Linked DNA regions of Macaca mulatta. The protein of the gene in region 1 purifies or fractionates together with the protein of each later gene. This does not show direct contact. Links are inferred from orthologs where the notes say so. Each region holds a gene or a part of one and is shown on either strand. Other genes may lie near its edges.

Region 1 (3,520 bases):
AAACATATGGGTCTGGGAAGATGGAGAGTTACATTCTGATCTTCACTGCTTAGAGCAGAAATATGGTAGGTATTTAACAGAGTCAGGCAGCACAACTACCTACCTCTTCCTCTGAACAGGTTGTCAGAAAGCAGTGACACTAATTACTACACTTTCTTTTTCTAAACCTCATTTTCTTCATCTTTAAAATGAAGGGTTCAGAGTCAATGAATTCCCAGGGCCCCTTCCCCCACGTGTCACTAGGGGCTTTTACCCAGTGGTTATATAATGGGAAGAAGGTACCACTGCCTGGCTGGGCCAGGAGACAGGAAGGGTGAGGTGAATGGCAAGCCAGCCACTCACCTGCAAGAAGTCAGTCATGCCCTGGAGAAAGGCAGGGACACCAGGCATCGCCACAGTGATAGTGGGAGAAGCCACACCAGGCCCTCCAGCCCCTGGTCCGGCAGGCCCTAGCAGGTTCCCCAGAAGCTGAGAGAACTGAAGATCAGCCGTGGAGGGTTGAGGGGTGGGTGGAGGCTGGGCAGGCCCCCCAGGGGCGGGGCCAGCTGTGGTAGCTGTGTTGGTGGTGCCAGCACTGGCAGAAGCAGTGGCAGGGGCTGGTGGTGGAGCCATTCCTGGAGTCCCCTGAGCTGTAAGAACCAAAAGAAAAAAGCTGGGCTGAGCATGGTGGCTCTCGGCTATAATCCTAGCAACTCTGGGAGGCCAAGGCAGGAGAACTGCTTGAGCCCAGGAATCTAGGCCACATAGCAAAACCCCATCTCTATCAAAAAACAAAAAAAGACAATTACTAGCCAGAAGCTAGTACTGCTAGCTACTCAGGAGGCTGAGGTGGGAGAACTATTTGAGCCCAGGAGTTCAAGGTTACAGTGAGCTATAACTCACTGGATTGCACCACTGCACTCCAGTCTGGGTGACAGAGCAGGACTCTGTCTCAAAAAAAAATAAAAAAGCTGGCCAGGCATGCTGGCTCAAGCCTGTAATCCCAGCACCTTGGGAGGCCGAGGCAGGTGGATCATGAGGTCAAGAGATCGGGACCGGCCGGGCGCGGTGGCTCAAGCCTGTAATCCCAGCACTTTGGGAGGCCGAGACGGGCGGATCACGAGGTCAGGAGATCGAAACCATCCTGGCTAACACGGTGAAACCCCGTCTCTATTAAGAAATACAAAAAACTAGCCGGGCGAGGTGGCGGGCGCCTGTAGTCCCAGCTACTCGGGAGGCTGAGGCCGGAGAATGGCGTGAACCCGGGAGGCGGAGCTTGCAGTGAGCTGAGATCCGGCCACTGCACTCCAGCCTGGGCGACAGAGCGAGACTCCGTCTCAAAAAAAAAAAGAGATCGGGACCATCCTGGCCAACATGGTGAAACCCCGTTTCTACTAAAAATATAAAAAATTAGCTGGGTGTGGTGGCACTCACCTGTAGTCCCAGCTACTCAGGAGGCTGAGGCAGGAGAATCACTTGAACCCAGGAGGCGGAGCTTGCAGTGAGCCAAGATTGCACCACTGCACTCCAGCCTGGTGGACAGAGCGAGACTCCATCCCCCCCCAAAAAAAGAAAAACATTGAAACCTAAAGACAAACAAGACACTATAGCAGCCCTATTCCAGGAAAGCAGGAACCAAGAAAATACAGAAAGAACTAGAAAGTGCCAATAAGCAGACTAGGAAAGGAATTTAAAGTCTGAGTGGGGAAGAATGAAAACTCACCCACAAGGACTGGCTGCATAAGAAGCTGCCCCACAAGGCCGCTCACCATCTGGGCCAACGAAGCATTGGTACCCAGCCCGGCGCCCTGCTGGATAGAGAGCAAGGAAGGACTTCAGACCTGCCCTTCCATGCACCACCACAGGAGTCTCTCCCTAGACTGTTACGCACTAGAACTCCCCAACCCTTGCTCACCAGTGTCCCAGAGACTGGGGGCCCTCCAGGATGAGAAGGCCGAGCCTGTGGAGGAGTGGGCCGGGCAATCACCACCCGGGTTGGAGCTGTTGGGAAGCCTGGTACCTGCTGTCCTGTGGGTGGCAGAAGAGAAGAGACCGAACAGGGCTGAGGGCCAGGCCCTTGCCAGCCAGCTGCCACCACGGACTGTGCCCCACCTCCCAAGCCTCCCCTTCCAGGTCATTACCTGCGGCCGCGGAGGCAACAGCTGCCACCATGGCCTGATGAGTGATCTGGTGGGCGACGGCGTGCATGAACTCAGGGGGCAGGGAGGGCAGCTGGATGAGGGTGGAGCCTGGGGGGCGGGTCTGATGTAACCTTGAACCTGGACCCCTTCAACCCACCCACTCAGCCCTTCCCCTTCACTACCCAGAGCTCAGCCTGCCCTGATGCCCTCACTCTTACCCAGGGTTTGGCCATGACCAGGGGGCCCCAGGGGGCCAGTGGGAGCACTCGGAACACCACCAGGCTGTGTGCCAGAATCTGGGCAGGGAGACAGAGAGAGTAGCCCTGAGGTAGGTAGGGCCAAGGCCTAACTATATCCTACTGAGATCAGGCATACTTCAGGCCCATAATCCCCCAATCAGAAAGCCTGCTTTTCCCTTCATCTAAACAGGGAGAAGGTGCTCCCTTCACCATGCAAACACATCTCCAAAAACAAAGCAACCCGTCCCCCACATCCATCTACTAAAGTTTCTGCTCTGGTCCCCAGGCTACCACCACCAGCATGGGCCTCTCCCTTCCCCACCCTGTTTCCTCATACCTCGACATGAACCTCCCTCAACATGCTGATTCTACTCTTCTCGCCAGCAACTGATTCTAACTCACCTTGAATGTTCATGTGCATCATGACCACGGGTTCCACGCTCTGGTGGGAAATCCGGATGACCCTCGGGTGGCTGGTGGCTGGCGGGGGAGCTGGACCTGGAGGGGGAGCCCCCTCAGCTGAGGACTCGACATTGGTAGAAGATGGAGCCGTGGACGAGGCCTGCCCAGGACCAGGGGGAGGTGCCTCCGCATTGGGAGTTGGGGGGGGCCGAGTCCCATTTCCTGTCATGGTCACAGTGGTTCCCACGTTGATCTGAAAAAGACAGATGGACAGGCAGAAGTGAGAAAAATACAGAAGCCTAACCAAGAAATCCTCACAATAAACCTCTGAAGTATCCCCAGCCTCCATCACCATGTTTCCAAAGTCTCCTCCTTTCCTAACCTCCTTCAGGCCCAGTAGCTACCCTGGGTCACTCTATCAACACTCCTCACTCTCCCTCAGGCCAGACTCCCCCTAACCCACCTGTATGGGAATGGCTGCCTGCTGGAGCACCATGGGGGTGGTGTAGTGAGACATAGGCCGGACTACATGCAGGTGTCGTGGGGGCGCACAGGCCAGATTGCAGCGCAGGTCAGACAGTGCAACAAAGGTGTTGCCCAGCAGTCGCAGGCTCTCCCCCACCAAGTTGATCAACCGCTGATCCTCCTCCCGGCCCTCGTGCTGCACACCCCAGCCAAACACAAAAGGGCAGAAAATATCAAGCTGGAGTCCATCTCACTAATGAAAGCAATAATGCCTTCTAAGAATACCACGTCCTC
Region 2 (3,520 bases), on another chromosome or scaffold:
TCGAGGTGGGCGGATCATGAGGTCAGGAGATCGAGACCATCCTGGCTAAAACGGTGAAACCCCGTCTCCAATAAAAATACAAAAAAATTAGCTGGGCGTGGCCGGGCGCGGTGGCTCACGCCTGTAATCCCAGCACTTTGGGAGGCCGAGGTGGGTGGATCACGAGGTCAGGAGATCGAGACCATCCTGGCTACACAGGTGAAACCCCGTCTCTACTAAAAATATAAAAAAATTAGCCGGGCGTAGTGGCGGGTGCCTGTAGTCCCAGCTACTGGGGAGGCTGAGACGGGAGAATGGAGTGAACCCGGGAGGCGGAGCTTGCAGTAAGCCGACACCGCGCCTCTGCACTCCAGCCTGGGTGACAGAGCAAGACTCCGTCTCAAAAAAAAAAAAAAAAAAAAAAATTAGCTGGGCATGTTGGCAAGCGCGTGTAGTCCCAGCTCCTGGGGAGGCTGAGGCAGGAGAATGGCGTGAACCCGGGAGGCTGAGCTTGCAGTGAGCCGAGATTGCACCACTGCACTCCAGCCTGGGCAACAGTGCAAGACTCCGTCTCAAAAAAATAAATTAAAGATGGCTGGGCACATTGGCTGGCACTTGTAATCTGACCTACTTGACAGGCTGAGGCAGGAGGATCGCTTGAGGCCTGGGCAACATCATGAGACCCTGTCTCTAGAAATAATATAAAAATTAGCTGGGCATAGTGGCGCAAGTTTGTAGTTCCAGCTACCTGGGACGCTGAGGCAGGAGGATTGCTTGAGCCCAGAAATTTGAGGCTGCAGTGAAGTATGATTGCACCACTGCACCCAACCTGGGTGACAGAGTGAGACCCCATCTCTTTTTTGGTTGGTTGGTTTGTTTTTGAGATGGAGTTTCGCTCTTGTTGCCCAGGCTGGAGTGCAATGGCATGGTCTCGGCTCACCTCAACCTCTGCCTCCCAGGTTCAAGCAATTCTCCTGCCTCAACCTCCCGAGTAGCTGGGACTACAGGCATGCACCACCATGCCCAGCTAATTTGTTGTTGTTGTTGTATTTTTAGTAGAGACGGGGTTTCTCCATGTTGGTCAGGCTGGTCTCCAACTCCCAACCTCAGGTAATCCCCCAACTTGGCCTCCCAAAGTGCTGGGATTATAGGCATGAACCATTGTGCCCAGCCTGAGACCCCGTCTCTTAAAAAAGAAAAAGAAAAAGAAAAAAAAGCCAGGTGTGGTGGCTCACGCCTGTAATCTCCAAACTTGGGAGGCTGAGGCGGGTGGATCACTTGAGGTCAGGAGTCCGTGACCAGCCTGCCAACATGGTGAAACCCCATCTCTACTAAAAATACAAATATTAGCTGGGCATGGTGGTGGGCACCTGTAATCCCAGCTACTGGGGAAGGAGGCTGAGGTAAGAGTCAATTGAACCCAGGAGGCAGAGGTTGCAGTGAGCCAACATCGCGCCACTGCACTCCAGCCTGGGTGACAGAGTGAGACTCAGTCTCAAAAAAAAAAAAAAAAAAAAAAGAAGAAAAAGAAGAAGAAATTCAAGATGAAAGAAAACAAAAATTCCAAAAAGTTGAGAAAGAATTGCCTTTTGTCCAGCCCCACTCCCAACCCTGTTGTCATGTGTGATTCTGTTTTCTTCCAGTCTCGTTTCCTCTCAGTCCATCCACCCTTCACGGGGCCAGAGCCCTCTCTCTAGAATCTGAGCAGCAATGCCGTTTGCTGAAGACAAGACCTATAAGTATATCTGCCGCAATTTCAGCAATTTTTGCAATGTGGATGTTGTAGAGATTCTGCCTTACCTGCCCTGCCTCACAGCAAGAGACCAGGTGAGCAAGGGAAGTGACAACCGGATACTGGCCTGGGGGCAGGACTGTGGAATTCAAAGCTCAGCCCTATCCTAGTTCCTCACCCAAGCCAGGGCTGGCTCCTTCCTTCTGCCTCTTGCTGTGTCTTGCTCCTTGTCCTTGCTGCTTTTCATTTTTTTTTGAGACAGAGCCTCACTCTGTCGCCAGGCTGGAGTGCAGTGGCATGATCTTGGCTCACTGCAACCTCCGCCTCCCAGGTTCAAGTGATTCTCCTGCCTCAGCTTCCCGAGTAGCTGGGATTACAGGTGTGTGCCACCACGCCCAGCTAATTTTTGTGTTTTTAATAGAGACGGGGTTTCCCCATGTTGGCCAGGATGGTCTCGATCTCTTGACCTCGTGATCCACCTGCCTCAGCCTCCGAAAGTGCTGGGATTACAGGCGTGAGCGCCGTTGCTGCTTTTCTAACTTTTGGATGAAGTGTGGCTCGGGGTGGCATTGCTGACTTCGCCGAACTTCCCGTTGTGTTGTTTTTGTACACTGCTCAAAAACATGGCACTGGCTCTCTGAGATTTCCTGGCTCTGGTCCACTTGCCCACTTTTTTTGGAACCTCCTATTTCCTTCATCTCTCTTGCCCTTCCTTGTCCTGCTCAGTTTTGACTCCATTCTCCTTGTCATGGGGCCCTGTCCAGGCACAGCGCTGGGACTCAGGTTTGAGAGCAGGCAGGAGCCAGGTCGCTCTAGCCCCAACAGAACTTGCTGCAGGCCCCTGGCACTCACTAGCTGGTGAAACGGGCACAACCCCTCCCCGTTGTAGCTGCTATTCTCAGATTGGACCCCTGTGCTCCAGAGGGTACCTGTTGGCTCTTTTGGGGCCTCCTGTCCTCAGATTTCTCAGGAGCCCCATTGCTGTCTCTGGTGTCCTCCCACACAGATCGTGTTAGTATGCAGGTCTGTTTGGGGTTTGCCCCTCCCTCTTGTATTTTGGGGTTTATAGGGATATCTTGTTTTGTAGTAAATATTTTCTGTGGGTTTTATTTTCTTTAAAAAAATTTTTTTTGAGACAGAGTCTCACTCAGTTGCCCAGGTTGGAGTGCAGTGGTGTGATCTCAGTTCACTGCAACCTCCGCCTCCCGGGTTCAAGTGATTCTCGCGCCTCAGCCTCCTGAGTAGCTGGGGTTACAGGCGCATGGCACCACACCTGGCTAGTTTTGTATTTTTTTTTTTTTTTTTTGAGACGGAGTCTCACTCTGTTCCAGGCTAGAGTGCAGTGGCGCAGTCTCGGCTCACTGCGAGCTCTGCCTCCCGGGTTCACAACATTCTCCTGCCTCAGCCTCCCGAGTAGCTGGGACTACAGGCGCCTGCCACCATGCCCGACTAATTTTTTGTACTTTTAGTAGAGACTGGGTTTCACCGTGTTAGCCAGGATGGTCTCGATCTCCTGACCTCATGATCCGCCCGCCTGGCCTCCCAAAGTGCTGGGATTACAGGCATAAGCCACCACGCCCAGCTAGTTTTGTATTTTTAGTAGAGACAGTTTCACCATGTTGGCCAGGCTGGTCTTTATTTTTATTTTTGAGACCGAGTCTTGCTCTTGTCACTCAGGCTGGAGTGCAGTGGTACAATATTTTGTTTTGTTTTGTTTTGTTTCTGTTTTTGTTTTTGTTTTTTTTTTGAGACGGAGTCTCGCTCTGTGGCCCAGGCTGGAGTGCAGTGGCCGGATCTCAGCTCACTGTA
Region 3 (3,520 bases), on another chromosome or scaffold:
GCTAGACCACCTGCTCTCCAGGGTCACAGGGATCTAGGCCAGGCCAGCCACAGTCCTCTATGGCCAGAATAAGGGTGAAGGATCTGAAATGTGGGGGCAAAGGGCAGGAGGCTAGGCCAGAGGGCCAGAAGGTGGAGCAAAAGGTCAGAGAATAAAGGGGCAGAGGTGCCTCTGCTCAGCCAGTGCTGGGTGGGTGGGCACACCTGGTCCAGATACTTGGCCTGGATCTTGTGGCGGGCCTCACACATCTTGCAGGGCTTCTCGGGGTCAGGGAAGACGAGCTGGTTGACAATGATATTGTGCGTGTCGATCTTGCACTTGGCCAGCTCCTGGATCAGCCTCTCTGTCTCATACAGGGACAGGAACTCGGCAATGCATACGCAGATGAAAGTTGTCTGCTCCTACAGGGCACAAGAGAGGACAGTGAGGGGCGGGTTCTGCCACGGTCCTCAGCCCCCAGGCCTCTCACTGCCAGCCAGACCACCACTCACAGGGTCCTTGAACTGCTCGCTGACTGAGCGGATGACGGGCAGAGTCTCCTCTAGCTTGGAGGCCAGCTGGTCTGCGTTCATGTCCCCCAGGCCCAGCATGTTGCACATCTGCAGGGGGGATGTGGGAGGACTCATAGCTTACCTGGGGCTCATTAAACCTCCTGGGTTGGGGGTTCACTAAACACCAGAGGGATGACTCCTGATACCTCCCAGCGGTTAAAGGCTCAGGCCCGTGAGCAGATTCCTGGGGTTGGTCAAATACCAGCTTTGCCATTTCTTTCTTCTTTTCTTGGAATGGAGTCTCGCTCTGTTGCCCAGGCTGGAGTGCAGTGGCGTGATCTTGGCTCTCTGCAACCTCCGCCTCCCGGGTTCAAGCGATTCTCCTGCCTCAGCCTCCCAAGTAGCTGGGATTACAGGCACGGGCCACCATGCCCGGCTAATTTTTGTATTTTTAGTACAGGTGGGGTTTCACCATTTTTGGCCAGGCTGGTCTTGAACTCCTGACCTCAGGCGATCCACCCGCCTTGGCCTTGCGAAGTGTTAGGATTACAGGCGTGAGCCAACGCCACCGGCCTCAGCCTTGCCATTTCTAGGGAACTATGGCTAAGGGGCTTGACCTTCTGGAGCCTCAGTTTCCCCATCTCTAAACTTTACCTCCCAGACCTGTTGTACCAGATGAGCTGATGCATATAATGTGTTCAGAACAGTGTCTGGCACACAGTAAGTGCCCAGTGTTACCACCTGAGGCACAGGTCCTCACAGGGTACACACATGCACATATACCATGGTGGCTGGTGCTGGTGGTGTGAAGCACTGTGGGGGCTTTGGGGTTGTCATCGTAATAATAAGCCACGGGGGTTGGGCACAGTGGCTCATGCCTGTAATCCCAGCACTTTGGGAGGTCGAGGTGGGTGTAATGCTTGAGGCTAGGAGTTCAAGACCAGCTTGGGCAACATGGCAAAACCCTGTCTCTACAAAAAATACAAAAATTAGCTGGGCATGGTGGTACACATCTGCTAAGTACACGTCTGCTAAGTACCCCCAGCTACTTGGGAGGCTGTGGCACGAGAATCACTTGAACCCAGGAGGTGGAGGTTGCAATGAGCCGAGATTGCACCACTGCACTCCAGCCTGGGTGACAGAGCAAGACTCTGTCTCAAAAAAAAAAAAAAAAAAGTAATAATAATAATAATAATAATAACAACCCATGGGGCACTCTCATGATCTCCATTTGCAAGACAAGGAAGTTGAGGCCCAGAGAGGTGAAGTGATTTGCTTGAGGTCACACAGCAGTTGGGTCACACGGTGAGTGCAGAGGGTTTGAAGGCAGGTTGCCTGGTTCTGAAATGTGCTTTCTGGCTCTGTCTAGGGTATTTAGTGGGCAGGGGCAGGGACACTGAGTCCTGCCTGCGGGGGAGGAAAGACAGCTCCCTCCCATGCCCTCCAGGGAGAATTCCAGAGAGAGAAGGGGTGGGAAGGAAAGGGAATTGTTAGTAGGTGTCTGAGGGTCTAGGGGCCTGGGCCTACTCCCACTCCCGGCTGCCTGGATGGTGCAGGTGGGGGCCCCCGCCGCCTGCCTGTGAGATGAAAGGGCTGATCTGGTTCTTGATCTGCATAAGTCGGCCCAGGCCCCGCTCCACGATGGTGGGGAAGTTGAGCAGCCTCAGTGTGTGGCCCGTGGGTGCCGTGTCAAACACCACCACCGAGAAGTTCATGCCCTTCACCAGCCTGAGGGGAGACAGGGGTCAGGCCCTCTGTGTCCACTCTTCCCCTTCCCCAGGCAGCCCCCACCCCTGCTGGCTGGGCCTGACCTCATGACCTCGGCATAGCTCATGGCCTCATCGATGCCGGGAAATGCGCTCATGGCCTCCTGCATCATCTTCTTGCCCATGCTCAGCATGTTGTCTTCCTCGAAGAACTCGTCAGGCAGCTCCGCCACGCCCAGGCTGGGGTCAATCTCCTGGGGGCCAAAGGGATGAGACGGAGGTTGCTGCTACTGCTGGGGGAGCCTTCCTACCTGGGCACAGGGCCAGAGGGAGCCTGTGGCGGGCTCTGACCACAGGCGTTTCATTAGGTCACAGCTGGGGGGACCCTGAGGTAGCACTTAGGGTTTTGTATGGTTGCATAAAGGGTGAAAAACAACGGGAAAATTGCAAGCTGTGGCCAGGGCCCTCGAAGGGAAGCCAAAACCCACTGCGGGCCATTTACATTGCTACTCCCCACTTGTAACCGGCCACTTGAGACCCCAGATACTCCCGTGAATGGGCCATGACCTCTTCCAGATCATCCATCCCTCCACTGAGAGATTCCTTGACCACCCTAAATAACAGCACAGATCCACTGACATCCCCTGCCCTGCCTTCCTTTCTCCTTAAGGTTTAGTCCTTAGGAGCTGGGCAGGATAGCTCACGCCTATAGTCCCAGGCACTCAGGATAATGAGATGGGAGGATCGCTTGAACCCAGGAGTTGGACACCAGCCTGGGCAATATAACAAGACACATCTGAAAAAAGAAAAATTAGCCCTTCCTCACATCCCTCATGATTCCCTTATCATGTTTATCATCTGTCTCCAGAGCAGATGGAGGGGCATCCCCTCAAGGGCAAGGGTTTTACCATCTAGCTCACTGCTGTGTCCTCAGCACTTAGCATGAACAGTGCCTGGCACAGAGGTCGTCAATATGTATGCAGAATCCGGCCAGGCACAGTAGCTCACGCCTGTAATTTCAGTCCTTTGGGAGGTGGAGACGGACAGATCACCTGAGGTCGGGAGTTGGAGACCAGCTTGGCCAACATGGTGAAACCCTGTCTCTATTAAAAATACAAAAATTAGCCAGGCATAGTGGCGGACGCCTATAATCTTAGCTACTCTGGAGATTGAGGCAAGGGAATCGCTTGAACCCGGCAGACGGAGGTTACAGTGGGCCGAGGTCACACCATTGCACTCCCGCCTGGGTGACAGAGTGAGACTCTGTGTCAAAAAACAAACAACAAAACAAAACACAAACATGTATGTAGAATCTATAAAGGG

Evidence for each region.
Region 2: the proteins of BAG6 (region 1) and MAVS purify together in Homo sapiens (affinity purification with western blotting; 3 studies listed by BioGRID and IntAct, with this or other methods). This does not show direct contact. The link is inferred for Macaca mulatta from reciprocal best matches to the Homo sapiens genes BAG6 and MAVS.
Region 3: the proteins of BAG6 (region 1) and GET3 purify together in Homo sapiens (co-immunoprecipitation; 5 studies listed by BioGRID and IntAct, with this or other methods). This does not show direct contact. The link is inferred for Macaca mulatta from reciprocal best matches to the Homo sapiens genes BAG6 and GET3.

Annotation. Positions count from the first base shown.
Region 1 is NC_133409.1:150,677,740-150,681,259, reverse strand, and holds part of BAG6 (large proline-rich protein BAG6), read right to left. Parts: intron 3,423-3,520; coding exon 3,225-3,422; intron 3,015-3,224; coding exon 2,762-3,014; intron 2,444-2,761; coding exon of another isoform or gene 2,417-2,443; coding exon 2,339-2,416; intron 2,229-2,338; coding exon 2,121-2,228; intron 2,008-2,120; coding exon 1,895-2,007; intron 1,791-1,894; coding exon 1,703-1,790; intron 630-1,702; coding exon 343-629; intron 1-342. UniProt on the Homo sapiens protein: ATP-independent molecular chaperone preventing the aggregation of misfolded and hydrophobic patches-containing proteins.
Region 2 is NC_133415.1:80,212,068-80,215,587, reverse strand, and holds part of MAVS (mitochondrial antiviral-signaling protein), read left to right. Parts: intron 1-1,622; 5' UTR 1,623-1,689; coding exon 1,690-1,806; intron 1,807-3,520.
Region 3 is NC_133424.1:13,300,939-13,304,458, reverse strand, and holds part of GET3 (ATPase GET3), read right to left. Parts: intron 2,452-3,520; coding exon 2,303-2,451; intron 2,220-2,302; coding exon 2,025-2,219; intron 622-2,024; coding exon 492-621; intron 402-491; coding exon 204-401; intron 1-203.